Xenopus tropicalis: one gene and its partner. The protein of the gene in region 2 purifies or fractionates together with the protein of the main gene of each other region. This does not show direct contact. Links are inferred from orthologs where the notes say so. Each region holds a gene or a part of one and is shown on either strand. Other genes may lie near its edges. The genes, in order: cops5 and dtl.

The links.
Region 1: the proteins of dtl (region 2) and cops5 purify together in Homo sapiens (affinity purification with mass spectrometry; 6 studies listed by BioGRID and IntAct, with this or other methods). This does not show direct contact. The link is inferred for Xenopus tropicalis from reciprocal best matches to the Homo sapiens genes DTL and COPS5.

The regions. Positions count from the first base shown.
Region 1 is NC_030682.2:119,196,013-119,212,390, forward strand, and holds the end of cops5 (COP9 signalosome complex subunit 5), read right to left. Parts: intron 16,108-16,378; coding exon 15,996-16,107; intron 10,505-15,995; coding exon 10,356-10,504; intron 10,167-10,355; coding exon 10,082-10,166; 3' UTR 9,875-10,081; downstream 1-9,874. UniProt on the Homo sapiens protein: Probable protease subunit of the COP9 signalosome complex (CSN), a complex involved in various cellular and developmental processes.
Region 2 is NC_030681.2:14,715,688-14,733,382, forward strand, and holds the end of dtl (denticleless protein homolog), read right to left. Parts: intron 11,082-17,695; coding exon 10,992-11,081; intron 10,242-10,991; coding exon 10,109-10,241; intron 9,100-10,108; coding exon 8,282-9,099; intron 7,112-8,281; coding exon 7,049-7,111; 3' UTR 6,686-7,048; downstream 1-6,685. UniProt on the Homo sapiens protein: Substrate-specific adapter of a DCX (DDB1-CUL4-X-box) E3 ubiquitin-protein ligase complex required for cell cycle control, DNA damage response and translesion DNA synthesis.

The DNA of each region.
Region 1 (16,378 bases), on a different chromosome or scaffold from region 2:
TTCGCTCCTAGCTATGCAAATTTATATTTAGCAGATTGGGAAGACATTTATATCTGGGGACCTAATAGATCATCAGCATTGAAAATCTATCGTCGCTATATAGACGACACTAAAGTCTCATCTATAGAAACTTTTTTTAAAACTTTGAATGATAATGAAGATGGATTGAAATTCTCGTTCAAACACAGTGATGTGAGCATAGAATTTTTAGATCTGGAGATTTTTATTGATGAGGGTAGAATTTGCACTAAAACATACTTTAAGGATGTGGATAGGAATACCTACATATTGAAAAGCAGCCATCATAGGGATATTTGGCTTAAGAATATACCCCGAAGCCAATTTTTGAGAATACGTAGAAACTGTAACAGTGATTGTGATTTTTTGGAACAAAGCATTTTCATTTATAGGCGATTTATAGAAAAAAGGTACGATAAAGAACATCTAACACAAGAATTTGTTAAGGTAGCTGGAATGGATTTCTCTGTTTTCCTCCCGAGATTAGGAGGTAGTTTTAGAGCTGATCAGATTGGCCTAATTCCCCCAGTTGAAGCAGGGAATGTGGAGATAAAAGATAGTCTTGATCTTTTTTTGGAGAGTGGATATGACCCGATTGGGTATGAGAATATTTTGCCAACTTCCAGATATCGGCATGAGAAAGAGAGAGGTAAGAGGGATAATGTATGTGTATCTTACAGTAGACAGGGAGAATTACAAGATAGAAAAAGAAAAAATGGGGATACAGATAAGAGAACTAAACAGAAGAAATATTTTATTAATCAAATAGATGCAATAGCAGTGTCCCAATCCATTGCCAATGAGCCGTCCAGAGAGTATGGCGAGTTGGCCTTAGTGGTACGGTATCACTGTAAAATAAGAGAAGTATTAACTATATTGGAGAAGTACTGGCCCATAGTATTAAATGATCCTGTTCTGAAAAGTAACTTACCAAAAAATGTACCCATAATCTATAGAGACTAGAAACTCTAAATATCAGTACAATCTAAAACAAACATCAGGAAAAATCATTCTATATAGAAAGGATCTATTAATGTATTTAGTAACCAACTGAGTATAACTAGAGGTTGGCATAATATGTGGGAACCTGTTCCCAGTGAAACTAATTTCCTGAAGGTTTAGATTCCATAGCTATAGAGGTTTTCCGGTATTAATGTCTTATTCTTTAAGTTCCTTGCAGTTGGATCACAGTACGTCATATGATTCTTGAATTCCCTGTAGTGTAATAGAACTTGTGGCGAGAACTATAGACATCTATTCCCATTTTCGTAAAAGGCTATATGAAACATATTAGGAAAATTAGAATAGGGTCCTGTGAAATACCAGCTATACAAACATTTTAGGGATATACATACATCAGATATAAGACATTTGAAAGCATGGGCTATAGAACAAGTAGAGATGGATTACAGGGGAGGTGATAGAATAGCAGCACTTGACAGAAGGGAGTCCTTTTGGATGTTCTCCTTGAACACATTTATTCCAATAGGGTTCAATGAGAACCGGAATATCAAAGCCTTTCTGGGTCATTAGGTGCGATATTGGAGGGATATCTGCTTATGAGAAGCTTTGTACGGAAATTAATATTATTATATATCCCTAACAAGTATGGGGAGTTCTTTATTGTAATATACAGTTAGCTAAGGAAAGGAGAAGTGAGTGTTTAAATATACATATATAGTGATTTTCCATCCATATTTATTTATGTGGAAATTAAGACTATAGTATATTTACAACCAATATGGGGAGTACGATATCAAAATATAGTCAGGGGAAAGGAGAAGTACTTGTTTTAATATATATGCAGTGATATTCCTTCCCTTATTTTATAATAAGTTTGGATTTGTCTAATGAAAGAATGGAACCTTTGTTTTTAATTAATTATTCTCAGCCTCATATGGGATTCTGGTTCAGGAAAGGGCTAATGTGCTTTGTAACTGAGTTTGCCTTAATTCTATATCAGAACCCCATTCAGGAAAGGGTTAATGTAATAGACCAATGTAAGAGAGGGGGGAAGTATAAATGAGAGAGGGAGGACCTCCGGAGGTTAAGCAGTCTTTGAAAAAGCGCAGGAGCGCGAAACGCGTCGACCTTTTTGACACAGGAGAGGATCCGTACTGAAGGAACTGAGCTTCGGTGACGTCACTGCCGAATCGGCCCGAAGCGGCAAGTAAAGATAGTGCGCTCCTCTCTCTGTGCCTGAAGTAAGTTCCCGGCCGGGATAACTGTATCAGGTTTGTTGTTAGCTTAACCACCGTGAGGTCCCCTTGGTATACTTTACCCATTTGTAGTGCGGGGCGTTGCCGGTATTGTGGTATTATTTGCTGGGAAAATATTTTTGAAGTCTGGTTTCCCACGATGCCTCTCCTATCTAGTTGCAGCCTTTTAATATAACGGCTGATTGTATAACCCAGTCCGGGCAGAGTGAGACCCTCAGCATAATAGATGGTTTGATTATTTTTAAGCTAGCGATCATGCTATATAAATTATCTTTTAGCCTCTACTAGTATGAATCATAGATCTCTATTATAGTTCTTAATTTATACTAAACTGTTTGGGTATATTTACACTGATCAATGAATATTTATATAATTGTATTGATTAATGAATTTCTGTAGATATTGCCAATTATTTTTTTTTAATCCCATCTACTTTTTAACCAATGTGTAATCATATATAGGAATGAACTAATGTTATTTTATGCACTCTTTTGATTTTGATACACGGATTAATGTTATATTTTTAATAAAGATTGATTGATTAATTTTAATACACACGAATGTTTTGTGAGCGCCAACTCTGTGGGTATTTAATAGAAGAAAAACGTGCAACATTACAAACACGGAAGTAATAGAACGCGCATGAGCTAAATTACATTCACACTTTCGCGGTCATCGGCGTAAGAAGAACGCCGTATATACGCGGTTTTACGCAACACAGAAATAACCGCCAGTACGTAAGTACGCCGAATTTTACGCCGCGAACGGCAGCGTAATTTTCTGTGTTATAACGCCGTTTTTACCGCACTTTAATAAATATGCCCCTTAGGGGCTGATTTACTAAGACACAAATTCGAATCCGAATTGGAAAAATTCCGATTGGAAAACGAACATTTTGCGACTTTTTTGTATTTTTTCGGCGCCTTTACGACTTTTCGGAAATTATCGCGACTTTTTCGTTACCAATACGACTTGCGCGAAAAAACGCGAGTTTTTCGTAGCCATTACGACTTGCGCTAAAAAACGCGAGTTTTTCGTAGCCATTCCGAAAGTTGCGCAAAATCTGGCGATTTTTTCGTAGCGTTAAAACTTGCGCGAAAAGTCGCACCTTGTTCGTAGCGTTAAAACTTTTCGCGCAAATTTTAACGCTACGAAAAAATCGCCAGATTTTGCGCAACTTTCGGAATGGCTACGAAAAACTCGCGTTTTTTCGCAAAAATCGTATTGGTAACGAAAAAGTCGCGATAATTTCCAAAAAAATCGCAAAATACCGATCATTACGAAAAAAACCGCAATCGGACGCATTCGGCCCGTTCGTGGGTTAGTAAATGTGCCCCTTAGTGTAATTCTTCTAAAATAATTCTGGGGTTGTGCAAAATGTGCAGTATGAAGTATGCATATAGCACAGGTCAACTGCTAGATGGACAAGGGCCCTATGTATTTGGATTGTAATTGCTTTTTCATTTGGGTTAGATGTGTAGGTTTGGCTATAAGGAAGTTGTAGCCAATTAGAACAATATCAGAGTCATCAATAGACACTCTGAGAATTTCTTAAAACAAAAGTTCTTGGTTTTCGAGAGTTATTTGGTTAACCTCCATCTTGATATTAATATATTGTCACTAGCACTTTTTAATTTATTCCAGTGCTGTATAGCACATTGCCATGGGTGAATATCACTGTTTAGAATTCCAAAAGATGATTAATTTATGATATAATTAACACTTTGTTAATTTTGTTAGCACTAATGTTTTGTACCACATGCTTATTTACATCCACTATATCCCCGGCATCCAACCAGCACTTTTTCTGTGGGGCTTCTGTTATGCGTTTCCTCATCCCCCCAGTCTTTGCTGCAGCCACTCTGTTTTTCCTCCTCCTTCATTGCCAAATGCAGCTTTCTCTAGAGCAGTGCTGTCTAACTGGCAGCATGCGGCCCGCGGCCCCCATCTGTGTGGCCTCCCACCTGTCTGGCTGCTTTGATGGCTTACTCTTGTGTAAGCTTTAAATGGTATCAGTACTGTTATTAACTGGCCCCCTGCATTGCTCACACCTCAGATTCAGCCTGTAAACCCCCTGTATTGTTTAAAAATGTAATCCTCTGTTGTTCACACCTTTTAATCTCTGCACAGCAGGTAAGTAAGATATTTTTAGACATGGTATTGAAGAGTTTAACTTACCCAGCTCCTGTAGTATCTGTCCTGGAACGTAGGTGCCCCTTGCTTAGAAGTATAAGGTTGTGCATTGTCTTCTGCTTACTTCTGATTTGTTGGTGCTCTGTCTTCATTTCCAGCATCCTTAGGCTGATGCCACACACAGCGTATGCGTATATTTTCGGCAAGCCAAAAATCGCTTGCCGAAAATACCGTCATACGCTCCTACCTGTGCCCGAATGAATGAGGCCGTAGATGCGAAGTCTCGTGTTTTTTGGCAAATATCAGCTACACGTGCCTGCACCCAAGCGTATTTAATTCATTAGGGTGCAGGCATAAGGTAGGGTAAGTGTAGAGTAGCAGGGCGTTTTCTCAGCAAGCGTTTTTCAGCTTGCTGGGACTACGCCAGTGTGTCATCGGCCTAAACCTCCTTAAACAGGACTTTAGGGCGATCTCCTTGCCTTTGGCACTTTTCTGTGGCCAATATCATTGTTAAGGAAGCTGATTTACTCCTTCACTGCCAAGTGCTTATTGGCTGCTCGTGTCCCACCCCTTGTATAACACTGCAGTGATGTGTGCAGTCAGCAAGACTTTCTGCTACTTTTACAACCCGCTTTGTGTTTGCCTTTGTCAGTGCCTCTATTAATCGTTGCTACTGCCTTCCTTGTCCCTCTGGATGGCAGTGTGCTTCTCTTTTTCTTGGTGCTAAAGTGTGCTTCGCAGCTCGACGCTTTCTGCTTCTGAGCGTATGGCGTATATGCACCATACGCAACATATGTCTGCTACTTGTGCCTGCACCGGAACGAATGCGATATGCTTGGGTGCAGGCGCATGTAGCCGATATCCACATAAAAACGCGAGAGAATGCAAAGTCTCACGTTTTTATGCGTATTTCGGCCACATGTGCCTGCACCCAAGCATATCTTATTCGTTCAGGTGCAAACACAGGTAAGAGCTTATGGCGATATTTTCGGCAAGCGTTTTTTTCGCTTGCCGGAAATATACGCCATACGCTGTGTGTGGCATCAGCCTTAAAGGAGAAGGAAAGGCTTATAAAGAGTTAATCTCAAGCTGCAGGCATACCTTCAGTTGTCTCAATAGTCCCCTTAAGTCTCCCCATATTTCGCCTGTTCAGATTATCAGAAGCCAAACAGGAAGAAAAACCGCTGAGCTGTGTAAAGAAGATTCCCAGAATGCATCACTCCTGCGCCGAGACTAAGACCAGCTACTGAGTAAGAGCATGTGCATTTAACTTATGCTGTGATCACACTTTCCATCTCGAGCGGCTCAGGTAGAGTAGGTTGCGCTCGTGTCTAGGGGAGGGAGAAGGTTTGCGCATGCGCATTAACTTGCGCGGCGCCATGTTGGACTAATTTAAATATCCAACATGGCGGCTGCAATAGATGCAACAGCGAGTGCTCTAAAAGTACCTGCAAAAAAGGTGAAAACATGTAGCTATCAGCTACAGGTACATGTGGCCTATCTATGTATGGGTTTTAAACCCTCTCCTTCTCCTTTAAGGCTAATGCTGCACTGAGCGTATGGCATGTCTCATTTGTTCAGGTGCATGCACAGGTAAGAGCGTATGGTGATATTTACAGCAAGCGTTTTTTCGTGTGGCATCAGCCTATTTGCCTGCCACCATCCTATGCCTGCCATGAGCCTTGTTTGTCTTTTCATAACACATTCCAAGCTAAATGTTTGCACATTCTGTAAACATCGGCATTCACAGTACTCACCTCGGGTAATCTACATGGGTGAACATATGTTAGACTAGTTTGTAATACCTCTAATAGTCTTAGTTTATCAATGAGACTACTGATAGATACTAAGCAAGTAAAGGTCCCCATACATAGAGATTTGCTCACTCGGCGAGATCGGCAAGCGATCGGATCTTCACCCGATATCCCCACCTACAGGTTGACAATACGGGGGAGCGTGTAGGTAAAAAAAAAATAATTTGATCGTTTGGCGGCAATGGGGCAGTCGGTTCGGGGACCACATCAATGAGCCGATGCGGTCCCTGATCTGAATGAATTTTCTAACCTGGCCGATCAATATCTGGCTAATTTCAGGCCAGATATCGGTCGGGCAGGCCCCTCATTTCTGCCCCTACATGGGCCGATAAGCTGCCGAAACTTGATCAAAGGTTTAGAAAAAAAAATTATGCTCATGTTGCTTTTGTTGCTTTTATTTTACCAATTTTTCAATTACGTTTTTTTCCTGTCCCAAAAATACGCAATTAAACAGGTTTAAAAAATAGATATTTCATTCTTCAATAGTAAGGAATCACATTAAATGATTAAGTTGGAATATAGCATTGCAGGTAATAATCAAATAATCAGCAGGCTTGATGAAGGAGAGGTCATGTCAAAGCTTTAATAGCTTTTTATGAAGATGCTATTAATAAAATAGAGAGGGTCCAAAGAAGGGCAACTAAGCTAGTAAAGGGAATGGAATGTCTCTTGGGACTGCCATTTACACTGGAGAAGTGGTGCTTAAAGGAACAGTAACACCAAAAAATGAAAGAGCTTTAAAGTAATAAAAATATAATGCACTGTTGCCCTGCACTGGTAAAACTGGTGTGTTTGATACAGTAACTCTACTATAATTTATATAATAAGCTGCTGTGTAGCCACAGGGGCAGCCATTCAAGCTGGAAAAAAGGAGAAAAGGCACAGGTTACATAGCAGATAACAGATAAGTTCTGTAGAATACAGTGGTGTTTTATCTGTTATCTGATATGTGCCTGTGCCTTTTCTCCTTTGAATGGCTGCCCCCATACTACACAGCAGCTTATTTATATAAATTATAGTAGACTTTCTGAAGTAAACACACAACTTTTACCAGTGCAGGGCAGCAGCACATTATATTTTAGTTATTTTTATACACTTTCATTTTTTGGTGTTACTGTTCCTTTAAGGGGAGATAAAATAACTATGTATAAATATAAGAGAATTATATAAAAATCTCTCTAATGCTTTATTTACCAGTAAGTCCTTACAGTAGACACAAGGCCATCTATTACCTATAGAAGAAAAAGAGAATTTCACTAACCTTGTCGGAAATTCCATTTCTTCTACTCCCGACATGTCAGTACACATGGCCCAGCTTTGCCTCTGCCAGATAGAGGGTAGGACCTAGCCATTTAAAATGAATCCTGCCTCCAACAGTGTGAAGGTGTTCTGTCCACTCACAAAAAAAAAAAAAGTGGTTTTGTTGTGTTTAAGAAAATTGAGAGCAACAAAAAAATGAATGGTGATGTATTACTGGCTTAGAATGGTAGAGCAATAGGATAGGCGGGCTGTGAAAAGAACTAACAAGCTGTCTAGGTTGTTGAATATATATTCCTACTATGTTTATAAATTAGTCAAATCTCCCCAACCCGAACTGCATATACCCCCCCTCTGTTTGCCAGCTCATTAATACAGCTAGCAGCTTTCAACCGGCAGCCATTTTCCCCTCCGACGCATCAGTGATATTTACTGCAAACAGCAAATATTTATATGCAAACAGCAAGTTCATGCAACAAAGAATGCAAGCTTGCACAGGCAGAACTTACTTTGATAAAAAGTTCTGATTGGAATGAGCACTGTGATGGTTAAATTGAGCTGAGGACAGGAGGTTAGGAGAAAAAACATACTCCTCCAGCAGAGGGCACTGCCAGAGTTGAATTTTAATGGAAACCAGCAATACTATAATTTCACTGGCTGCTAGACTTGAAGGAATGTTTAGTAACCAGGTAAAGAAGAACTGAGCATGCTCACTAGGCAACAGCCAAAGTAAATTCCCAAGTGAGGGGGGAGAGTGGATTAGAGGAGAAGGAATCCCAACCAGTGGCAGGTATTTCCAGGTTCTACACTGATTTGGGGTGAATATATTTGCTGTCCTTAATATTGTTCGAAAAACAGATTCATAACTGATACAGCAACACCCATAAGTGTACCAATTTCACAAGCTAAAGGGGCTGTGACCAAAGTAGTACATGAAAGGGAAGCCCAGTCCATAAGCTGGAGCTTAAACTCAAAAAAGCAACCATTGTGTTAGGTGCTCTTAGGACACAGCCATGAAAAAAAAGGCTTTCAAAGCTTTTCAAAGCTTTCAATTCTGTTGTGGCTTGCTTTTTGATTGCTGATACGGGGAGCACTGGCATAGCTCATTAAGTTATGCTCTTATGGGCCAACATCCCAAGTGAATGGGTTACTGTTTGGATCGGAGAGTCAACTTCTACCCTAGTGTTAGGCAAGCTCCAATATTCAGATGCAACAGAACTACTCTTAGGGGCAGATTTATCAAAATATGAGATAAGAGCTCACCACAGAAAGCTTCACCCACATTCTATTCATTCCAATGGGATTTTTAGAAGTGTATTTATCAATAGGTGAAAGTTAGAGTTTGCCTTTTGATAAATATGCTTTTATAAATCCCATAGGAACGAATACAAAGTGGGTGAATTTTTCTGTGGTGAGCTTTTCTCATATTTTGATAAATCTGCCCCTTAGAATTGTCCTAAGCACAAAAGATGAAGGGGTATCAGTAGTTGTAGTTCTGCAATAACTGAAAGGATAGAACATTTATCTGTCTCTGCTTTACCTACTCACCTGCCGAGCTCTGCAGAGTAGCAGCCTCTGTACTACATTTGTACCTGTTATGAGCACTTCTGAACATCCAGCACTGCATATCCATACTGCTCCAAAACACGTACAATCATGCAGTCAGTTATATTTTAATACATCTTAAGTGATCAAATATTTTCCATTCTCTGGTAATGCACCTTCCTCCCATTGGTCCTCACAAGCTGCTTAAAGGAACAGTAACACCAAAAAATGAAAGTGTATAAAAGTAATTACAATATAATGTACTGTTGCCCTGCATTGCTAGAACTGGTGTGTTTGCCTTATAAAGACTACTATAGTAGGAGAAAAGGCACAGGTTACTTAGCAGATAACCCCCCATTATATGGAGCTTATCTACTAGTTATCTGCTATGTAACCTGTGCCTTTTCTCCTTTTTTCCAGCTTGAATGGCTGCCCCCATGGCTACACAGCAGCTTATTTATATAGTAGCTTTTCTGTAGCAAACAGCACATTATATTTTAATTACTTTAAAACACTTTAATTTTTTGATGTTACTGTTCCTTTAAACACACATAACCAAACAGAGAACCCACACAGAGTGAATATTCATGCACAGATAAACCTTGTGCCTAAATGGATAGGGTAAAATCAAAATCTCAAAACAATGTCTTCAGAAGCGCTCTTCAGGTCTCCATATACATTCTCTAGTTAGACCGATGATTGTCAGTGATACTGAATCAAATTAATCATCCATGTGGTCTTGGCTATATATTTGTAATGAACCTCACTATGTTTCCAGATTAAAGAGGTCTATGAAGTGCTCAAAGGGTGAACTTTACAATCAGCCATGGAACATTTCTCATGAAACAAAGTGCAACAGAGGAAACAAGAATAAAAACAAAACATAAGACAGTTTAAAATATTGTATTTACTTAGAGAGCTCCAATCCAATAAATGGGAATATTTCAAGAATGTCACAATAAATGTCCTTTGCTTTCCATAGGTTTAAACAAACAAAAAGTGCAACCCAGATGAAAATCTCTGGCCTCTGCATAAAAGAAGCAACTTATTTGAACAAGACAGACAGCCAATCTTGAATCTTTGCAAAATGAAACATTAGGCAGTATTGATCTGGTTGAACAATTTATCTTTAATCACTTGTGACATCAATCCATGGATGGCTTCAATGGTTGTCTTGCAGCTGGAAAACAACACAAAGAAAAAGAATGTTTGCATAAAACTATTTGAAGTTTATCAGTAACTAAGAATGGCTTGCAACTAACTTTCTATGGTTTGTGTTTTTAACATTAAGAAACTTTTTTATTTGCTTAGTTCTTGCATCTAAAAACGAATCCTTCCAGGCAAAACAAAAACAGCTCTGATACATTACCTGTCCCTTGTTGCTTTTGCCAGTTTATCCTCAGATTTTCGGTCATGAGTTTCTAATCCAAGCATGAAACTCCCTCGACCAAGCTGGGCTTCAGACTGCTCTAATTTCTCCGATAAATCAAATACCTGTCCGGTTGTGTAATCCGCGTTCTGCAAATAAAAGGGAAACAATTAAAAGATCCTAAAGACACAAACAAATATTACAAGAATACAAGCTTCCACACCTTGTCAGAAGTAAATTCCATATCCAATTTCTTTGCAGGAAGTTTAACATTACACTTCTAGTTACAAGATTTATTTATGTATGTACAATTTTAATTTATAAAGCAACCTGTAGGCTTCAAGGTGTTGCTGAACTATTACTTTTTAGCAGACTGCCTTATATCTCAAAGCCCTAACTGTTCTGCAGATCTATTTAAAATAATAATGAAGCAAGAATGAAGAACCGCTTCTTTACTCATATGCTGCAACAATTATTTATGTATGTGGTGCTGTGGGGGGAGGAGGGGGGGGGCTGTCACACACACACACACACTAATATACAGATATAGATATAAAAAGCCTACACAGCCCTGGTAAAATGTCAGGTTCCTGTGCTGTACTAAAATGAGACAAAGATAAATCATTTCAGAACTTTTTCCACCTTTAATGTGACCTATAAACTGTACCACTCAATTGAAAAACTAACTGAAATCTTTTAGGTGGAGGGAAGAAAACCAAAAAAACTATAATAATGTGGTTGCATAAGTGTGCACGCCCTCTTCTAACTGGGGATGTAGCTGTGTTCAGAATTAAGCAATCACATTCAAAATCATGTTAAATAGGAGTCAGCATACACCTGCCATCATTTAAAGTGCCTCTGATTAACCCCAAATAAAGTTCAGCAGCTCTAGTTGTTCTTTCCTGACATTTTTTTAGTCACATCCCACAGCAAAAGCCATGGTCCACAGAGAGCTTCCAAAGCATCAGAGGGATCTCATTGTTAAAATATATCAGTCAGGAGAGGGGTACAAAAGAATTTCCAAGGCATTAGATATACCATGGAACACAGTGAAGACAGTCACCACAACATTACCAAGGACTGGACATCCCTCCAAAATTGATGAAAAGACGAGAAGAAAATTGGTCAGGGAGGCTACCAAGAGGCCTACAGCAACATTAAAGGAGCTGCAGGAATATCTGGCAAGTACTGGCTGTGTGGTACATGTGACAACAATCTCCCATATTCTTCATATGTCTGGGCTATGGGGTAGAGTGGCAAGACGAAAGCCTTTTCTTACGAAGAAAAACATCCAAGGTTGAACTTTAACTTTTTGGCCATAATTCCAAAAAATATGTTTGGCGCAAAAACAATACTGCACATCACCAAAAGAACACCATACCCACAGTGAAGCATGGTGGTGGCAGCATCATGCTTTGGGGCTGTTTTTCTTCAGCTGGAATTGGGGCCTTATTTAACAGTTTAAGGGTGTGCACACTTATGCAACCGCATTATTTTATTTTTTTTTATTTTCCTTCCCTCCACCTAAAAGATTTCAGTTTGTTTTTCAATTGAGTGGTACAGTTTATAGGTCATATTAAAGATGGAAAAAGTTCTGAAATGATTTATCTTTGTTATATATATATATATATATATATATATATATAATAGATGGAGTAGCTGTAGAGAGAGGTCTTAAGAAAATATAGAGGTTTTATTCAAATCAACATCTAACGTTTCGGCTGCATCCACAGCCTTTCTCAAAGACAATGTGAAACAAACAATGGTGCACTGAAAAAAACGAATTTGGCGCCAAACAATGACGTCATAGGTGTGAATACATTAGCATACAGTGTGAAAAAAACAGGGGACACACTTAACTACTTCTACATATAGGAAACCCACAGATCGCAACACTTTATTGCATCACGCATCCTGTCATCCTCCACATGTTTTGAAAAGCATCCCATACTCACAGATGATGCGAATGGTGAGAAACAACTCTGATCCTACCACACTACTTCAACAGACAGACGATCTGAAATCTCGTTTCCTGCAACGTGGATATCCTTCGGGCGAATTGGAGCACAGCAGAGAGAGAGCCCTCTCGCACACGCAAGCACAAGTTCTTCATTCTAACAAACCACGCACCCCCACCAAGCAGGATGATCGTCTCACTTTCATCACTACCTTTACCCCTGATAAGAAGCCACTGATCAATGCCTTCCTTTACCATTGGTCAGTTCTCGAAAAAGATCGGACACTCCCTCCAATTTTCAGATCTCCACCTCGCATTGCATACAAAAGAGGCAGCAGTCTTAGGGACCTACTGGTAAAAACGGACCCTACACATTGCTATCAGATGTCTCATACAACTTCCTGGCTACCTTCCACCAAACTGGGTTGCTATAGTTGTCCTAATTGCATCACCTGCAGTTCCATGTTGACAGGTCCGACTTTCAATCATCCACATTCCGGTCGGAACATCTCTATACAACATAGGGTCACCTGTACCTCAAAATATATTGTGTACTTCATCAAATGCCCCTGCGGCCTTTTTTATGTTGGTAAAACCATCACAACATTCCGGGATCGTATGGCGAATCATCGTTCCGCAATCCGGACTGCACTCTCTGATGATAAGGCTGACACCCCAGTTGCAGCGCATTTCCTTGCTCATAAACACTCTCTGGCTAGTATGAGATGCATGATCATTGATCATATTCCTCCTCCTGTCTGCGGTGGTAACCGTGAGAACTTGTTACTACAAAGAGAACTAAAATGGATGCATAAATTGAATACTGTGAGTCCCTACGGCCTCAATGAACTTGTTTCATATTCTTCCTTTTACTTGAAATGACCGTTTGATATTGTTACATACTATATATGTTATGCTACTATGATCTCTCTGTTATATCCTGTGACCTCATTGCAACATTTGTTGATACATAGTTGACATTTGCCTTTTTGGCCACTTTTCTCTTCTGAGATTGTTCTCTGTTTTAATCTGTATCTTCTGACTTTTGCAGTTTTCCCCTCCCCGTGTGTCACCCGCAGCCCGGTATCTAGGACTATAGGCTACTCCCTTTTCCCTTTGTCTCCACTTCCTTCTTGTCCTCTTGCTTTTCCTCCTTTTTCCCTTCTCTCCTGTATTTCTTCTTTTTTCTGTCGCCTATTTTTCTCCACTCACGCTGCCGATCAACTGTCCCACCACTATGAACCATCTTTCCTACAGTGATATGACCACATGCCTTATTTACTTCTACACACGGTGTAATAGTGTGCTAAGTACTGCTTACAGGACCCATTACATATGGGGTCTCTTTGTGCGTATGGGTGCACCATCCGTGACAAACTGTGTAAGAATTACATATGACACTGTTTTTTATAAACACTTTATTGTTGATGCCCTATACAACACACACGGTGCAATAGTGTGCGTAATACTGTCCAATGGACCTTAACAATAGAGGTTCCTCGTGACGTATGATCGCACCATCCGTGCGTTACAACCTGGGCTTGATTCTGCCACAATATTTATCCTTTTTGAGAAATTTTCCCTCCTTTGGTACCTGCGTCCAAGATACGTTGAGAATGACATGATACCTTTTAGTCTCCCTACTCTGGCATACCAGTAACCCCGCTGCCTTTTACATCAATGTCTGTCTCCCATAGTATTGAGCCCTTCGCCACCTGACAGCACCTGCAAAGGAGAGTCGCGTCTATAATGTTCTTGGTGATGGTCGAGTACTACTGATCGGCTTTCCACGCTAGCGAACGCACTAATCGGTGCCGTTGCTTTTGCTCTGTATGGAGTGCAGAGTCCCCTCCCACGGCCATACCATCGCACCGACAACAAATAGGTATTCAACCGCACAGCCCTTAGATCAGGCTTGATGCATCAATCCTCGCAAGGCACACCGCTGAGCCATTCAATACAATCCAAATATAGAGGAGAGCACCATAAAGCAGATTTCTGCTAAAATGCTATTTATTTCAGACCAAAAAACACAACATGTTTCGGGCAGTGTGACGCCCTTTATCATCGCACCGACATCTTTCCTTTCTCATTACCTCACTCTGTCCTCTCTACTTTGTCTCTCCTCAGTTACTATTCTACATCTTTCTCTTTGACTACTTTTCTTCCCATCTGCCTCTTCTATTCCCCTTGTCCTAGCTTTACTACAAATAAGCGGACCGATTCCCCATAAGGCACACCATATAATGCATTATTTGACAGTCATGTCAGGCAATACATGCTGCACAGAACAGTCATGTTAGTTACTCATTTTCAGCAACTCCTTGATGTATATTTGCCCTACTGTCCCTCATTATTTCTTATTCCTTGGGCCAGTTCGATTTTGTACATTTATAAACTTATAACTTGGGGATGTCTTTGCGACATGTGTGAGTTGCAGTTCAGCACTAGATACATATGCGGGCTTTTTTAATACACACCCACTTTTCCTTTCCCCTGACAGTCCTTTTGTTTGTGTTCTATGCCTAATCCATATTATCTTAACATTTTTTGTTGATTCAATGTGTTTTGATAGCGTTTTTTTCACACTGTATGCTAATGTATTCACACCTATGACGTCATTGTTTGGCGCCAAATTCGTTTTTTTCAGTGCACCATTGTTTGTTTCACATTGTCTTTGAGAAAGGCTGTGGATGCAGCCGAAACGTTAGATGTTGATTTGAATAAAACCTCTATATTTTCTTAAGACCTGTGAGTGCGGACTCTCTCTACAGCTACTCCATCTATTATTTTGGGACTGACACACACACTTTTAGTTACCATTACTAAGTACCCCCACTCCAAAATCAAAACCACCCAGGTCTCGAAAGATCTGTTTTTATGATTCGAACTCTTGTATCAGAGCTAACATATCTGCGATACTTCAAATTACAAAGCCTTGGTTGGCAAAGGGGGGGGGGCAAGTACCCCACGTTGCAGTGAACAAAAAATGTATAACCTGTGTTAACATCATCACAGGCTTGGGCAAAAAAATTGCACTGCCTATATTTTGCCAGCCAGTTTGTACATGTGTATAAACACTGACACAGAAATGGAGACACTTTGTTTCAGAATCATCCCTTATTAAAGGAGAAGGAACATTACAATCACTGAGGGTGCCAAAATGTTAGGCACCCCCCAATTATTGTAATTGCTTATCTGAAACCCCCGGCTGGTGCTCCTGTTAGGAGAAAACTGCACCTCCGGGGTGTAGGCAACGAATAGATTCTCTTCCTTCTTCGAGCATTTGCAATGGAATGAATAGCTGAACTAACAACAAAAAAAAACCCGAAACAGCTTTTTGCTTAACTGTGCATGTGCGGGTCTGGGGGTCCGGGATCTTGTCAGAGGAGAAGGAAAAGGATCACTTGCATTAACTGTTGGCTGGTGCAGTTTTCTCCTAACAGGAGCATCAGCCGGGGGTATCAGGTATGTGATTACAATCACTGGGGGGTGTCTAACATTTGGCACCCCCCAGTGACTTTTACCTTTCCTTCTGCTTTAAATCTAAAATGAGCATGTGATCTATTTATGGTGTAGCTTACTTGGAGACAGCCAGATAAGATCTACTATAACAGCCATTTGCAAAAATGAGAAAACATTTTAGAGAGAGAGAGTTATAATCAGGCAGGTGGCTTACTTACTGTCAGAAGGCTAGAGGAACTCAGTGTATTCACCCAATATTTATTCCACAACAGCTCAAGAAGTTTTCGGTCCAAAGATGATTTGAAATATGTAACCTCCAAGGCATAATACCTTAAATGATACAAAAAATTCTTGTGTTACAAGAAACTGATGTTTGGTTTAATTGACAAAGTGGGCTGTGTAGCAAGAGTTTAACTTATATAGCCACACAGTGGAGAACACCCTAAAGTGGGCTAAAACTGACAATATAGTCCATAACAGGAATACATGCACAAGTGCTGCCAATCAGGCTGTTTCCAGGCTACAACATACAGCACCTCCACTAGCTGGGTTAATGCTGGATGTTGTCAACAGTATAATACATAATCAACAATGCCATGAA
Region 2 (17,695 bases):
CCCAACCCCCTCACTGCCCTCACTGTGAGGAACCCCCTACCCAACATCCCCCCGCAGGGCATTCCCCAACCCCCTCACTGCCCTCACCGTGAGGAACCCCCTACCCAACATCCCCCGGCAGGGCATTCCTCAACCCCCTCACTGCCCTCACCGTGAGGAACCCCCTACGCTGCTTCAAATGGAAGCTCCTTTCCTCTAATCTAAAGGGGTGCCCTCTGGTGCATTGATTGTTTTTATGGGAAAAAAGAACCCCCCCATCTGCCTATAATCCCCTCTAATGTACTTGTACAGAGTAATCATGTCCCCCCGCAAGCGCCTCTTTTCCAGAGAAAACAACCCCAACCCTGACAGTCTCACCTCATAGTTTAACCCTTCCATCCCCTTTACCAGTTTAGTTGCAGTCTCTGCACTCTCTCCAGCTCATTAATATCCTTCTTAAGGACTGGAGCCCAAAACTGCCCCCCATACTCAAGGTGAGGCCTTACCAGGGACCTATAAAGGGGCAAAATTATGTTTTCATCCCTTGAGTCAATGCCCTTTTTTATACAAGACAGCACTTTATTTGCTTTAGTAGCCACAGAATGACACTGCCTGGAATTAGACAACTTGTGATCTACAAAAACCCCTAGATCCTTCTCCATTAAGGAAACCCCCAACACACTACCATTCAGTAGATAGTTTGCGTTTATATTATTTCTACCAAAGTGCATAACTTTGCACTTATCAACATTGAACCTCATTTTCCAGTTTGCTGCCCAGTTTTCCAATTTGGCATGTTATGTAAAGTCTGAACACATTTCTGGGGGTTTTGGGGTCTTGTTTTATGTGTTATTACAGTTTTGCTAATAAAGGAAATTGCCCTTTAAAGGAGAAGGAAAGGTATTTTGCCAATTTACTGCCAATAAATTAGGCACAATAGTGCAAGCTAGAATAATATATTTATTCTGCAGAAAGCTTTACCATACCTGAGTAAACAGCCATAGAAACTCCCTCTGTTTGTTTAAGATAGCAGCTGCCATTTTAGCTTGGTCTTTGTAGCTTCTGTGCTGCAGCTCTACCTGCTGGTTGTTCAGATTACACAGAGTTGGGAGGGGGGGGCAAATTCTGATGGGAGGGGGAGGAGAAGGGTGTGGAGAGGGAGAAAGGAGCAGATTCCTGCCCTGCCCTGAAGGATTTTTCTGAGAGAGGAAGTCAGATACCCTAAGAATATGTTTACAAAAAAGGAGACAAGAAATCCTGTGTTTCTTTTGATAGAGGACTCAGAGCAGCGTTTCTGTGAGTGCTTATGGCTGTATTTACATAGAGCTTTCTGATAAAGCTTACTGAGTTTTTACCTTTCTCCTTTAAGCTGCCAGTCTCAGTTCCCCCAAGAGACCTGTTTATCTTATTAGTTACAATTGTATCTAAGTGCAGGCGGGCCAAATTAAATTTGTGAAACTTTGTATCATTTTTGCGGTTCAGTGCAGGAGATCAAAGAGAAATGAGGGTCTTTTCAGATGGCACAGCACCTACTCGGTATATAGAGCTGGGGGGTGACAGTTGACAAGACCAACAAGAAATGATGTGCCACACCCATCAAACTGATGTTGCACCCTAAGATTTGCCCAGTGGCCAAACTAAACACCCATAAGACTGGGTGCAGAATTTGCAACTGGGCCCCACCACCCTCTTATCAATACCACACAGCACCTGCTGCAGCCAGGCCCATGATGGGGGGGTGGGGGGGGGGGCATTGGTGTAGTCATTCCCCTGCCCCATGGATTTGCAGCAACTGGTTGAAAAATCAGCAAAAAACCTTGGGGGGAAACCTCTAAATCTTAATCTGGGAACTCCCAGCATGCACAGAGACAGGATCCAACTGTAAATATTAAAGCTCTGTTGATTCATTGCCCCGGATTCATAGTGGTGCGGCCCGTTGTGGTCTCTCTGGAAAGTGATACTCGGCACAGAGCTGCGGTGACCTGCGCCGGCACCTTTTAATGAGTAACAAACCCAGCTGATCTCCATATTACATTGCAGAGATTTCCATTTAAACCCACAAGTGCTGAGAATGTTTATGTGTGAAACTGCCTTTTATTGCTGTGAAATAATTAACCCAGAAGGTGAGCTTTATTCCTCCATTTGTATGTACACACTGTGCCTGGAATGTTACATTAATGTACAGGAATTCCTAACCGAGCTCCATTCATATGCTTAATGGGGACGGAGAAAGCAAGTCAGTCATTTTGTAATAACGTGTCCAATTAACCCCCGTCCCACTTCCTTTCTAACCCACTTTGCTTCCAATTTCTCCTTGAATCCGGTCCAGCGACATCTTGCTCCACCCCTGCCAAAATCACAGATTCCCACCCTGGCCGGTAATAACATTGACAAGTGGTGCCAATCACTGTTCCCTCTAAGCTGTGCGCGTGTGCGCGCGCACACGACTTTCCGAACCCGCGCACACAAATTAAAATAGCGCGCACAAAAATTAAATTTTTGCCTAAAATGATTTTTGCCTTTGGAAATAACTCAGACGTCTCCTCGGTCTCCCGCCCTCGTTACCCCGGCAACAGGTACTTCTGGCTCCTGTCCGGTGCAATGTGTAGAGTGTCCGTGCGTACCTGCGCGCGTACTTGCCCACGTCTGGGGGGGGGGGTGCGCGCAAGGAGCACGTTCAGCACCGGACAGGAGCCAGAAGTACCTGTTGCCGGGGTAACGAGGGCGGGAGACCGAGGAGACGTCTGAGTTATTTCCAAAGGCATTGCGCTGTGGGAAGTGCTGGATGGCACGTCATGAGGACCAGGTAGGTGTATACAAGTATGTACAGCACAGTTACACTGCCATCCCAGCTAACATGGAGATTCTGCTTTGGTAGTGCTGGCTCAGCAGCAAACAAATCAATGGGGGATTAATAACTTTGGCATCAGGCTTCATTTTTACCAGCCAGGGGGCAACCGTAGTTGGAGATGTGGCATAGGCACACAATGTATAGTGAAGGTCCTTCACTGAAGGAATGCTAGGTGAGGGTAAGGTTGGGGGAAAGACAAAGTCCTGTCCTGATTTCTAAATGTGTAAATCCTTATAGGCAGTTTTCGCCCCAGCGAATTTTCATTTCAGAATGATCAATTTGCAGAATTAGCAAAATTGATGGACATTGGTGCCACATTCTTAGCTTCGAGTGCAGATTGTGAGCGTGGTTTTAGTTTAATGAACAATCTGAAAACGAAGCAAAGGAACCGTTTACAGTTTGGAACATTTGGAAATGCTGATGCGTATTAAAGTGGACCTGTCACCCAGACATAAAAAGTTGTATAATAAAAGTCCTTTTCAAATTAAACATGAAACCCAAAATAATTTTTTTATTACCACATCCATGCCCATTATAAAAGCATTTTAAAATCCCAGCTGTCAATCATATAATGCCTGCCCCGCCTCTATGCCTTAGGCATAGAGGTGGGGCAGACAGTTACTTTCACTTTCAATTCAGAACTTCTTAGATGTTGCTGCGCCCCTAACATTCCCCCTCCCTCCTCACCATGTAATTGTGTAACCAGTGCATGGACATGGGCATCAGGTCCCCCCATACTGGCACAGAAACAAGATTTTGGCAGGATGCAATGCCTGCTTTGATAACAGTGTCCACAAAATGGCCCCTGCCTGCTTGCTGCAATTGCTGTGAATTCCAAGGATGAAGAAAATAAAATTAAAATAATTTATACAGTGTAAGTAAAGTTTATTTTGCTTGCCAAACACAACAGAAAACAATTTGAAATTATTTCTTAAGGTGACAGGTCCGCTTTAAGAGTAACCTTCAAAATGGAGGCACGATAGATCTTGACAGAATTTATTCAGACTGGATAAATATGAAAGATCGCAGAGAAAAACTGTGAAAACTAAATTACTCTTAGTTTCGAAATGCTACCTATAAAATATAATTACACGTTATTAATAGGTATAGCATTTAACAATGAAACTTGTTTGAATAAACAGTGTTATTGATAACTGAAATAACATCGTGTTTTTGTAACTTGATTTAGACAAACTGAAAGACCTGCGCAAAAATGCCCATAACTGAACTCCAACAAACATTCTGTAGCGCACAAAAATTTAATCTTGCTTTAAAATGCGCACGGATGATATTTTTTGCGCACACAGCCTATAAAAAATTAGAGGGAACGTTGGTGCCAATGCCCCTCATAGAGATACTTCCCTCAGGCCACATTAGCTCCTGAATCATTTTCTTTGAAGAAAGGTCAGCCGACCAAAGCTTGAGCCATAGGGATCTCCAAAGTGACACAAGGGCAAGTGGGGGTTCTTTTGAGAGGTAAAAAGTGGGGAGGAAGAGCTTCTTGTCAGCGCCAGTAGCCAATGAGTATGCGGAAAGAAGAGAACATACGAGTGGTGTAAGTAGCAAAGGCAGAAAGATGTAAAGGGGAAATAAGGGAGCAGTAGGGTTGCCAATTGGCCCAGCCGGCCCAACCTAGGGTGGGTACTGGTATTATAAACATAATATATTTTTTTTTCCCCCCCAAAACCCATCAGTTAATAGAGCTTCTCCAGCAGAATCCTGCATTGTAATCTGTTTTATAAAAGCAGATTTTTTTTAATTTTGAAATGTCACATGGGGCTAGCCATATTCTTCATTTCCCAGGGTGCCACAGCCATGTGACCTGTGCTCTGATAAACTTCAGTCACACTTTACTGCTGCGCTGCAAGTTGGAGTGATATCAACTCCTTGGGCAAAAGGCTTTGTGGAAAGTATTATAAGATGAAGAAAGAAGAGATGATTGCAGGAATTCTGTGGTTGAACGTTGAAGTTGCAAATTAAACATTTCCCTGAATTGTACAATATATTTTTAGCTTTCACATTTCAAGTGCCGGGACTGATAGCAGGTTCAGCTCGGTGTTAATTGCACAATACAACTTGCACTGGAAGGCTTGGAGCCAATTAAAAAAAGCTAACAGTGTATTAGAATAAAGAGAAATCCTGCAAACTGTAACCATCTGGGGAACAAATAGGTGCCAGGCTGCCATGGCTTACACTACTGGCACAGATCACTCAACCTACAAATAAGCTTAAAGGGGAAATTTGTTGAATAGCCCCACACAACACAGAAACCTAGTATACCCATCACTAATCTGTTCCTTGAAAAAGTAGGAATAAATACCATTTTTATATGCTGAAATCCAGCTGCAAAACAGTTATTTTCTTTCTGCATCATTTGTGATCCTGGCAGGGGAGGAGGGACTAAAACACTGATGTTACAAATTGTAACAACTTCTCCACAGCTTACAGACAGCATGCAGGAACTACATAACCCACAATGCATTGCACTGTGATGTTCCTTTCCTTATTTACATCACATGGACAGGGGATTGTGGGATTGGGAGGAGGCAGGCAGGCTGAGGAGAAGCAACCAGTTACATTTTATTTCACAATGTAGTCAGTCAGCCAGATCAGCAGGGGAACAGGGGGTGGGGCTTAGGGAACTGTTCCAAACCATAGTATAATACAAACCATGAGATGGCTGCATATTTCATTGATGTATAATGCAAAGTTGCTCAAAATTATGTTTTTTCAAAAACCTTAAGCTGTGTTTGGATGGGGGGGGGGGAAATTAGTTAGGAATCTTCCAGTGATTATTGCTAATGCTGGACCCTGGGACGGCAAAAGCAAAGCATAGGTCCCCCACACTAAGCATATCTACTACACATAGTTCCCACGTATCCATTGTCGGGGTCCGGATCCAGTACATGTGCTGTATAGTAAAATATGTTGTTGCTTACACTGGTCTTGGACTACTGCAAGGAACCAGTGGGAAATTCAGTAAAATTGGTGCTGGGCTGGAGTCCAATGTTAGCAATCTCATTCACGGAGGGTTACCGGCCAGTGAATTGTTACTTTATTTGCCCTTTAACCCTGTCAGTACAGAGCAGTGATCAGCAATAATTAGTTGCTCCCCACCGCCAGTAGCATCAAAGCAAGTGCTCATTTCTTAGCTGCTGCCATGGTGGCAAGTTTTGGATGCATAAGGACCAGGCCCAGACTGGCAATTTGTGGCAAATACCAGAGGCAGGGGCATTCTGACCCCTAGTGGTGCCCTGAGGCAGTCTATGGGATGCCACCCCTCCCTCACCTCTTTGCACCTCAATCAATAGTGATTTCTGCACTAGCAGAGCCAAATTCCCCAGACACTGCTGCAAGATGCAATAGACATTGACTTTATTGGGCTGGTAGGGGGGGCTGTTTGGGCCTTGAAATACCAGTCCAATATCAATCAGTCCATTCCTGATAAAGACCAATGTGTATTGCCAAACAGAGCCTACCCCCCAGCAATAGCTTTTGTGGCTCTCCAACACTTTCTACATTTGAATGTTTATTTACAGGTAATTAATGTTGGGCACCCCTGGTATACAGTGGCACAAAGCCCATTCTGCTTTCCCAACACCACTACACCAGATACCAACTCCAACAGTCAACTGGCTGGTCAGGTAAATACCCAGCACTACCTTAGCCTGCTCTCTATATTCCTACTACCTAAATATGAAACTTTAACCCCCATCTAAAATGGCCTTACCTGCAGGGTGGAAGTTCAGATCAGTCAGCGATATTCTCTTTAATAAAGATTTAGCGAAGACACCCAATGTTAAAGCACAATATTACATGATAGAATAGACTCTACGGACATTAAATACACAGAACTACCGAATTATAATCTGTATTTAAAAAGTTATATTTTTACAATATGACTCAACTATACATACACATAAAGTATTAAAATATCAAAACTATTTACAGAGATTTTTTGCCACCCTTCCCCAAACACATTGTTAACATTCGCTCCTGGGCAGATCTCCCTATGTAAGGGATGTTAAAGGCAGTTCCCTTGGACGATTAGTAAACTAAAAATAATTGATTGTAAAAACCCACATTTAGTGTCCTATGTCATGGAAAAAAGTGCTAAAATGTTAAATATATAAAACATTCTCTATGGAGCAAATAACGAAGCAGCAACATGTACATCCTTGTGTGAAACGGAACGCCGCGGAACATACAGGCTCACTCTTACTCGGATTTCTTAAAGAAGTAGGTGCAGATTTTTCTCATTGAGCCGGGGGTCGTTGGTACCTATATGACAGAAGAGAGGGAAACCATTGATGCTTAGCAAAAACGGCATCACATTCAGCAAACTGCAATTTATTTATATACTGGAAAATATATAGAAAAATATATTTAATGTAGCAGAAAATGCTACTTGCTGATTGGTTGCTATAGGCAATAAATGTAGCAAATTTTGCACCATATATTAAATAACCACCTTCGTATCAGAACAAAATATTTATTGGTGGTGCACACAAATGTCCGTATGTAATACAAGGCAATAAATGCCCAGGAGCAGTAACCCAAAGCGACCAATAAGATGCTTGCTTTTAGGCAGTAAATGGTACCTGCTTATTGGTTGTTACAGTTTACTGCTTCTGGACAAACTTACTCCCTTTACTACATAACCCCATTAGTGTAGGGGTCACTTGTGAGTTCCCCAATGTGAAACTAATAGCAGGGCAATTCAATTTGTATTTAATTAGTTTAACATAGGAAACCCAACAAGTTTCAACCTCCACAAACAAGTGGGGGTTCTTTGTCACAAGAATAACAAAAAGCAGGCATGCATTTTGTTGTGCCCTGATGAAGACCCCTCTTGTTTTTTGGTGGGTCAAAACATCGAAGTTTCTAAGCAAACAAACTTTTTTTAAAACTAAAGTGCCCTGTTATTTATTAATTAGTATCTGACAAATGGTGTTACCATGCCCTACCCACACGATCCATACAATCCCATCTGTATATTTTGCATGCCCCTAGGTCCCAGCTTCCATGCCATCAGCAAACAGCCCACCTTACAAACTATTGAGGCTATATAGTTGGACGGCTTTGTAGTTTTATCATTTACATGGTTTATTTGCAGATTTCCCATTACTGGGGTGCAGAAGAGCTGTCAGCTTAGCCAATTTTAAACGAAATGGCTAAAACAATTGCTTCTCCAGCAGCATCTGGTTGGGCCCGGCTCAAATAACGATCAGGCAGATCCCTCTATGTGAGCAGATCAGCAGCCCGAGCCAATCAGATCAGCCTGATTTGACCAACCATAGGGTCTGGAAACCAAATCACGTTGCCTTATTTAATCTTGCCGACTGATCTATAAACCAAAGCATAAGTAGACAAAGCGTATCAGCCCCATAAGACAATTCTGTGCAGCCCCTAAGGATAATTTAATGCACTGTATAGCAGAATGATACTTACAGATACTGGTGAATTGGGAGCATTCCTTGTCGGATGTTTTTTAGAGGTGCTGTTCCTAGAGGAGGGGCTGCTGGCAGCTTTATTCTGAGGGGAAGACTTGTCCGACTTGAATTTGTGCCCTAAAGCAGAGAGCCAGTTTTTCTCTGGGGAACTGTTTTCTTTGTCTCGCAAGTCACTTTTCAACTCAGACAGAGGACTTAGAGGGGGGTTAACTGTACCATTAATAAGGAAGGATGTTGACGGACCGGGAGAGAATTCTTGGTCAAATCCCCTACTCAAGTCTGAAAGCCTCAGGCATTTATCATCGCTGCCGTCTCTCTCTTTCTCACTGAAAGAACACAAGTCCAGTTTTGCTTTCTTCAGCCCAGGCTCCAACTCCATCACACAGTTGCAATGGTCAAGGCAGACATGTTCCACATCTTCGCTGCTGGTTTCCAGGCGCCTCTTGGCCCTCTTCTCATAGGGCATCTGTACCCTTGTACTTGATACGCTTGGGTACTGCTCCACGGGGGTGAAGGCTTTGCGGGGAGAGGGTGTCTTTGTATCAGCCCGTGTGGATGACTTGGGAGTGCGGGTGATCCAGTCCTTAATTGAAATTTTTGAAGAGGACGTCTGTTTGGGAGATGCTCCTAAACCCTCGCCATTCAGCCTTTGTGGAGTCTGCAGCTTAGGAATTGGCAACAAGGCAGATACAGGAGTGCTGGAGGGCATTGGCAGGTCTCCCGTGTAACTTGGGGCACACGTGGCTGGTGTTGGGGAAGACATCAGGGAACTGCTTGGTATCATTGAAGGCTTCCCAGGCGTACAGAGGTTTGCGGCTGAAGGAACAAATGAAAAGAGATAAGGCACTTACGTAAACTTCTGGTGGTCTTCATCATTTATTTTCTATAGTTGTTGAATTATTTGCCTTCCTCTTTTACATCTTTCCAGCTTTCAAATGGGTCCAGCAGCCAAAAACTACTGCCCTGTGAGCCTACAATCTTATTGTTACTTCTCATTACCACCTTTCTAGGCAGGCCCTCTACTATTCATATTCCTGTCTCTCACTCAAACCATGGCCTGGTTTCTAAGGTAAATAAGGCCCTAGCTACCAGATGTCTGCTGAAAAACCAAACTGGAGAGCTGCTGAACAAAGCTAAATAACTCAAAAACCATAGTAAATAAAAAAAAAAAGACCAATTGCAAATTCAGAATATCAACATCTATATCATACTAAAAGTTAATTTAAAGGAAAACTACCCCTTTCATTAATACAGCAGCAAGGAAGCCTAAAAAAATTGCATTTGGGGTCAGAAAGCGACATGTCACACATTCCCATCACTATTCTGGTCACCAGCAGGAGCCCCCAAGTACTCATTACAGACAGCTGGCCCCTGTATTAGGTGCAATCTCCTGATTAATATCTTATCTGTATCTAAATTCAGGGTTTCCAACCCATACTTTACCCACTGGCCAAATGACTAAATTGCTATACAGGTGGTTTCCCAATACAAATAAAGGATTGTAGACCCTTTTCACTTCCACTGCTATCAAGGCCTCCATCCAAGGCCCCAAGGGCTCAAACTGGCAGTATTTTTTTGGCTCATGAATGCTTAAGGTCAAGCAAATCTTCCCCACATATATTTATGGCCAATTATGTGGCTCATAGGTGTAGCTAATACATGTGCTAAAAGCAGAATGTAAAAGATACCTTAAGAATCTGGAATGTTTGTTCAGAACTGAGATGTATGATGAAATCTATGTTCCTATTACATTGCCATTCGATAGTATAATTGGGTACTAGTGGCAGCACCGAACACCTAGTCAGTTACATAATGAGAACCTTACCCATAGAAGGCGGTACACATTTCTTTTGGCAGGCCCAACCAACAGTTTCGGTTTTATCCGACTGCGCAGAGTCCTCGCTACTTCTCTTCAGTCTCCATACTCTCACGGTGTTGTCATCAGAGCATGTGGCAATCTGTGTGAGAGGCAGGGAATGACAGTCAGACCAGGAGCCAACAAAAGTGAACATGGGCAGAGTTCTGTCACTGTGCAAGTGGGATCTTGTGGGTTTTGTGGGCTCCCTCACCAATAATTGGTAACAGCCTAGTGTGAGACTTTGCCATCAGCCATCACAATGCTTTTTAGTCATTTCAAAGGAAACCGTCAACCATTATTTAGGATAATGGCACATTAGGCGATTCAAGGGGTTTTGTTGCCTGCCATATGATTTCTAGCTTTACGGACACACAACAAAAAAACTTATAATTCAGTGGGTAACGCCGGACCTTTGAGTTAACCCCTGGGCGCAGGTTAACACCGCTACCAAGTAGTGAAGTGCTGGCCGGCCCAATACCTGTGGGACCCTTGAGAAACGGCCTGGAGGGGCCCGAAACATTGCTTTGCTTGTATGTACTTGGGCAAATAGACACATTTTTGCAGGGTTTAAATTTACAGTGTGCTACTGCATTTTTTTTGCTATTGCTGGACGAGTTTGGCCTCTGCACAAGATTTTCAGGTCGCGGGCAACCTTACACTTTCCGGTTCCAAGCTCTCTTTTTTATAGACGTGCCCCCCCTTCCCTTTTGTGACATCAGTGGGCAGGTTGGGTCTATAGAGGGGACCAGCCAGGCTTGGTACGGCTCGGGTTGGGAGTAAAACTCGACCCACACAAACACTGCACCCAGTTTACCCTCACCCTTTATGATAAAATCAGGCAAAAACAAACCTTTGTAAAGTCTGACTGGCACCAAGCTACAGAGGTGACTTCTTGACAATGTCCCGTCAGGGTGACAGGGGGAACCTTGGGATCAGACACCTGAAACAAAAGAGAAACTCTTCACAAACAAATACAGGCCGGAACAGACAGTCATGCAAAACAAAGGTGCTGATGTTCCATTTCCCTTTGGAAGGAACAGACATGCACATCTAACAGAATGCTTTAAAAAATATAACAACGTTGCATAAATAAATTTGTGTCTGTTACAAAACAGATGTTTTAAACGTCTTTGAAATGTTATAATTATGAAATGACAGTATTTCTTCAGAACTTCATCAATCTACCCATGGGCAAAGCATTGTATAACTACCACACCATGGAACAGCATATAAAGAGTATATAATTATGGGATTTGTTACCCAGGAATGCTGGATAAGAGTCTATCATTAATGCCATACCTTAAGGCTGCTGAGAACAACTAGAAATAAATCAATAGGATGGCTTTGCTATCAGACATGAATCTATGCCGGCTTAGTTATCAATTTGTCACGAGTTGCTTAAACCAATGGGGAATGGCACTTATATTTCAGGTTTCTGGGTAACTGATATCATGCCTGCACTCAAAATAACAGCATAGAATGGTATTATGAGAATGGAAGACAAAGCGGTGTTGGATTGCTCACTATGAAGAACTCTGCAGTTGCAAGGGTTCAGAACTAACCAATTGCTAGTGAACCACAAAAGCTAAAAGAACAGATGTCTGCATCAAAACAGGAAGCTTAGCTACATATCATGAATTGCGATCACAATGGTACAGATCTATAACAATTTTATAGAAACCAATCTGGGGTAAAGACACATTTGCTAGACATTCTTAAACCCATCCTTATGATAAAGTAATTATGAGGCTACAGTTGTACAGGGGTGTATGGGGACCCCCTAATGCAGTGATCCCCAACCAGTGGCTTGTTCGTAACCGGTTGCTCCCCAATCCCTTGGATGTTGCTCCCAGTCGCCAGGAGGTGCTTATGTTTAACCCTTTAAGTGCCAGCCGAATTCGTCATTTCGGTTCCCCCCAGTGCCAGACGTTTTTTAAGCATTTTGTACTCATTCACTTTAACAATGTTTTTTGGTAGGAAAACCTCCATGAAACTAGGGAAATTATATATCGTTTTTTTCGTCACTAATTGGGCTTCGACATACATACCAAATTTTATAACTTTTCTGGAGATATGATGTGTATTTTGGGTGAATTATGTAAAAAAAAAAAAAAATTATGAAAAATTTCTGTATATTTTGAGTTTTTTTTCCATAGAAAAGTTAATTTTACAAACTTTTTTTTGTTGTTTGTAAAAGCCCTGATACTCCCAAGTCCAACGATACCAAATATGTGGTGGTACCCCACAGTTCCTGTCCAGAAGTAACCCCCAAACTAAAGCAATACTTAGTACAATATCACACCAGAACAAAGCGGAAAAGCGCTTGTAACAGTTGATGCAGCATAACTTATATGTAAATCTAAAATATCCCCTCATGTTTGGTATCTTTAGAAACTACAGACCTTCAGGTTTCTAGGTGCAATGTAGTTTTCACTAAAAAGCCAAATACCTTTTGTCAGTGCATTGTGAAATTTGGAAGTTTTTTTGACATTTTTTTTTTTTTCTAAAACGTAAACTTGGACGCATGATCAAATGTGGATTTGACAAAAAAAAATCTCATAAAAATTTTCTAACAAAGGCAAATTTGAAAGACAAATTTCTACTGAATAAAATGATGCCCCATATGTATGGGTGCACATAAAGACATGGGCACCAAACAATCCAAAGCAGGGGCAATGCACAAGGGCAATTACAGCTAAAAATGTGGGTGCTGTGCTCTATGTGCACTACCTGCAGTTTTTCAGTGTTAACCCCCCCTACTTGTGAAATAACCCCCACAAACTATATATTTCTGAAAAGTGCACACCTTCAGCTATTCAGAGACACCACTCTTCTCTTTCTACATAGAAAATTGTGGCCGCAGTCCCTTGCAGAAGTCAGCGCTTTGGTCAGAAATCGAGGAAAAAACTGATAAAAAACCTAGATTTCTCCCCAAAATCTCCATGGCAACTACCAAAAACTTACTAAACATCAATCTGCAAGTTCCCCTGAATAAAACAATACCCCATATGTATGGGTGCACATAAAGACGTGGCCACCAAATGCCCCAAAACAGGGGCAATGCATAAGGGCAATTTCAGTTGATATTTTGGGGGCTGCGCTCTATGTGCACTTCCTGCAGTTTTTCAGTGTTAACCCCCCCTACCTGTAAAATAACCCCCACAAACTATATATTTCTGAAAAGTGTACACCTTCAGCTATTCAGAGACACCACTCTCCTCTTTCTACATGGAAAATTGTGGCCGCAGTCCCTTGCAGAAGTCAGCGCATTGGTCAGAAATCAAGGAAAAACCAGATACAAACCTAGATTTCTCCCCAAAATCTCCATGGCAACTACCAAAAACTTACTAAACATCAATCTGCAAGTTCCCCTGAATAAAACGATACCCCATATGTATGGGTACACATAAAGACGTGGCCACCAAATGCCCCAAAACAGGGGCAATGCATAAGGGCAATTTCAGTTGAAATTTTGGGGGCTGCGCTCTATGTGCACTTCCTGCAGTTTTTCAGTGTTAACCCCCCCTACCTGTAAAATAACCCCCACAAACTATATATTTCTGAAAAGTGCACACCTTCAGCTATTCAGAGACACCACTCTCCTCTTTCTACATGGAAAATTGTGGCCGCAGTCCCTTGCAGAAGTCAGCGCATTGGTCAGAAATCAAGGAAAAAACAGACACAAACCTAGATTTCTCCCCAAAATCTCCATGGCAACTACCAAAAACTTACTAAACATCAATCTGCAAGTTCCCCTGAATAAAACGATACCCCATATGTATGGGTACACATAAAGACGTGGCCACCAAATGCCCCAAAACAGGGGCAATGCATAAGGGCAATTTCAGTTGAAATTTTGGGGGCTGCGCTCTATGTGCACTTCCTGCAGTTTTTCAGTGTTAACCCCCCCTACCTGTAAAATAACCCCCGCAAACTATATATTTCCAAAAAGTGCACACCTTCAGCTATTCAGAGACACCACTCTTCTCTTTCTACATGGAAAATTGTGGCCGCAGTCCCTTGCAGAAGTAAGCGCATCGTTCAGAAATCAAGGAAAAACCAGATACAAACCTAGATTTCTCCCCAAAATCTCCATGGCAACTACCAAAAACTTACTAAACATCAATCTGCAAGTTCCCCTGAATAAAACGATACCCCATATGTATGGGTACACATAAAGACGTGTCCACCAAATGCCCCCAAACAGGGGCAATGCATAAGGGGGGGGGCTGTGCTCTACCTGCAGTTATTTAGTCTAAACACCCCCATACCTGTGAAATAACCCCCACAAACTATATATTTCCAAAAAGTGCACACCTTCAGCTATTCAGAGACACCACTCTTCTCTTTCTACATGGAAAATTGTGGCCACAGTCCCTTGCAGAAGTCAGCGCTTTGGTCAGAAATCAAGGAAAAACCAGATACAAACCTAGATTTCTCCCCAAAATCTCCATGGCAACTACCAAAAACTTACTAACCATTAATCTGCAAGTTCCCCTGAATAAAACGATACCCCATATGTATGGGTGCACATAAAGACGTGGCCACCAAATGCCCCAAAACAGGGGCAATGCATAAGGGCAATTTCAGTTGAAATTTTGGGGGTTGCGCTCTATGTGCACTACCTGCAGTTTTTCAGTGTTAACCCCCCCTACCTGTGAAATAACCCCCACAATCTATATATTTACGAAAAGTGCACACCTTCAGCTATTCAGAGACACCACTCTTCTCTTTCTACATGGAAAATTGTGGCCGCAGTCCCTTGCAGAAGTCAGCGCTTTGGTCAGAAATCAAGGAAAAACCAGATACAAACCTAGATTTTGGTCAGAAATCAAGGAAAAACCAGATAAAAAAACCTAGATTTCTCCCCAAAATCTCCATGGCAACTACCAAAAACTTACTAAACCTCAATTTGCAAGTTCCCCTGAATAAAACGATACCCCATATGTATGGGTGCACATAAAGACGTGGCCACCAAATGCCCCCTAACAGGGGCAATGCATAACGGGGGGCTTTGCTCTACCTGCAGTTATTTAGTCTAAACACCCCCATACCTGTGAAATAACCCCCGCAAACTATATATTTCCAAAAAGTGCACACCTTCAGCTATTCAGAGACACCACTCTTCTCTTTCTACATGGAAAATTGTGGCCGCAGTCCCTTGCAGAAGTCAGCGCTTTGGTCAGAAATCAAGGAAAAACCAGATACAAACCTAGATTTTGGTCAGAAATCAAGGAAAAACCAGATAAAAAAACCTAGATTTCTCCCCAAAATCTCCATGGCAACTACCAAAAACTTACTAAACCTCAATTTGCAAGTTCCCCTGAATAAAACGATACCCCATATGTATGGGTGCACATAAAGACGTGGCCACCAAATGCCCCCAAACAGGGGCAATGCATAAGGGGGGGCTTTGCTCTACCTGCAGTTTTCAGTGTTAACCCCCCCTACCTGTGAAATAACCCCCACAATCATATATTTACGAAAAGTGCACACCTTCAGCTATTCAGAGACACCACTCTTCTCTTTCTACATGGAAAATTGTGGCCGCAGTCCCTTGCAGAAGTCAGCGCATTGGTCAGAAATCAAGGAAAAACCAGATAAAAAACCTAGATTTCTCCCCAAAATCTCCATGGCAACTACCAAAAACTTACTAAACCTCAATTTGCAAGTTCCCCTGAATAAAACGATACCCCATATGTATGGGTGCACATAAAGACGTGGCCACCAAATGCCCCAAAACAGGGGCAATGCATAAGGGCAATTTCAGTTGAAATTTTGGGGGCTGCGCTCTATGTGCACTACCTGCAGTTTTTCAGTGTTAACCCCCCCTACCTGTGAAATAACCCCCACAATCTATATATTTACGAAAAGTGCACACCTTCAGCTATTCAGAGACACCACTCTTCTCTTTCTACATGGAAAATTGTGGCCGCAGTCCCTTGCAGAAGTCAGCGCTTTGGTCAGAAATCAAGGAAAAACCAGATACAAACCTAGATTTCTCCCCAAAATCTCCATGGCAACTACCAAAAACTTACTAACCATAAATCTGCAAGTTCCCCTGAATAAAACGATACCCCATATGCACATAAGTACATGGCCGCCAAACCTGAAAATGCATAATATTGGGGCTGCACTCTATGCACCCCTTTTTTTTTTGCCTGCACCCGAATGAATGGAATACGCTCGGGTGCAGGCACATGTAGCCGATATACGCATGAAAACGCGTGAGAATGCAAAGTCTCGCGTTTTCATGCGTATATCGGCTACATGTGCCTGCACCCGAGCGTATTCCATTGATTCGGGTGCAGGCACAAGTAGCAGGCGTAGGGCTGAATTTTCGGCAAGCGTTTTTCCACTTGCTGAAAAAATCAGCCCTACGCCATGTGTGGCATCAGCCTAACCCTTGGCAATAGAAACTACCAGAACAATCTTAGCACCTCTGGACCTTTCTAGAACAACTGAAATCAAATGAAGTTAAAATGGAATAAAACCACTAAAAGCAATCAAAGAACAATAATTGCAATGAAATCGGTGATCAGAGCCCTGGATCCACCAATGTCACTGCAAAAGCAACCTTTTTAGGGCACTAAATACACAATAAAGAACAATGCAAAGATAAAACACCATAAAATCAGTAAATTCAAATAAAAACCGCTCAAACCAACAGAAGAACAATTATTGCAATGAAATCGGTGGTCAGAGCCCTGGATCCACCAACGTCACTGCAAATTCAGCACCCAATAGCAATACAAAAGTTACAGTGCAATAGAATAATTCAAAAACAGAAATCAATTATGAAAATGCAAAAAAACACTAAAATGCAACCAAATAAATCAGATAATTATAGAGCAAGATCAGAAATAAAGTTTTAGTAAAAAAAAAAGACTGCCAGAGAAAGCAAAGAAAGAAAGAAAAGAAAAGAAAGAAAGAAAAAAAAAAAAAAAAAAAAAAAAAAGTGTAAGTGTAAGTGTGTGTGTAAGTGTCTGTGTGTGCTTGGGAAAGTTGTAAATAAGTGTGTATGTGTACAAAAGTGTAATAATGACAAAGATAGAAGAAGAAATAGAAAAAAAAAAAAAAAAAAAATTTTAGACAGTTGAGATAGAAATAAGCAAAATAAACAGTGGTTAGAGAGTTGTAGTTCAGCTTACACAATGCAGGCAGGCGATCAGGGCGACCAATCTGGCAGGAAGGCAGCAGGGGGGCTCCAGCAGTCTCACGTGGCAGCAGAGTGAAGAGGCGACGGCGGGGGCGGCGACAATTAAAGGGACAGCAGTGGACACGTCATCAATGCGTGTCCACTGCTGTCATTGGCTGAGGACCCGGATCGGCGGCGCTGGGGGACCCGGATCGGTAAGTATGACCTCTTGTGCTCGTTGCCTAGGGGGTTGTGCAGGCTTTACAAGCGCTGCGCTGCTTTAAAAGCGAGCGCAGCGCTTGTAAACCCGTTAGTGCTGTAGGACGTAGATTCTACGTTCTATGGCACTTTGGTCCCTTGGTACCTAGGACGTAGAATCTACGTCCTATGGCACTAAAAAGGTTAATTCCTGGCTT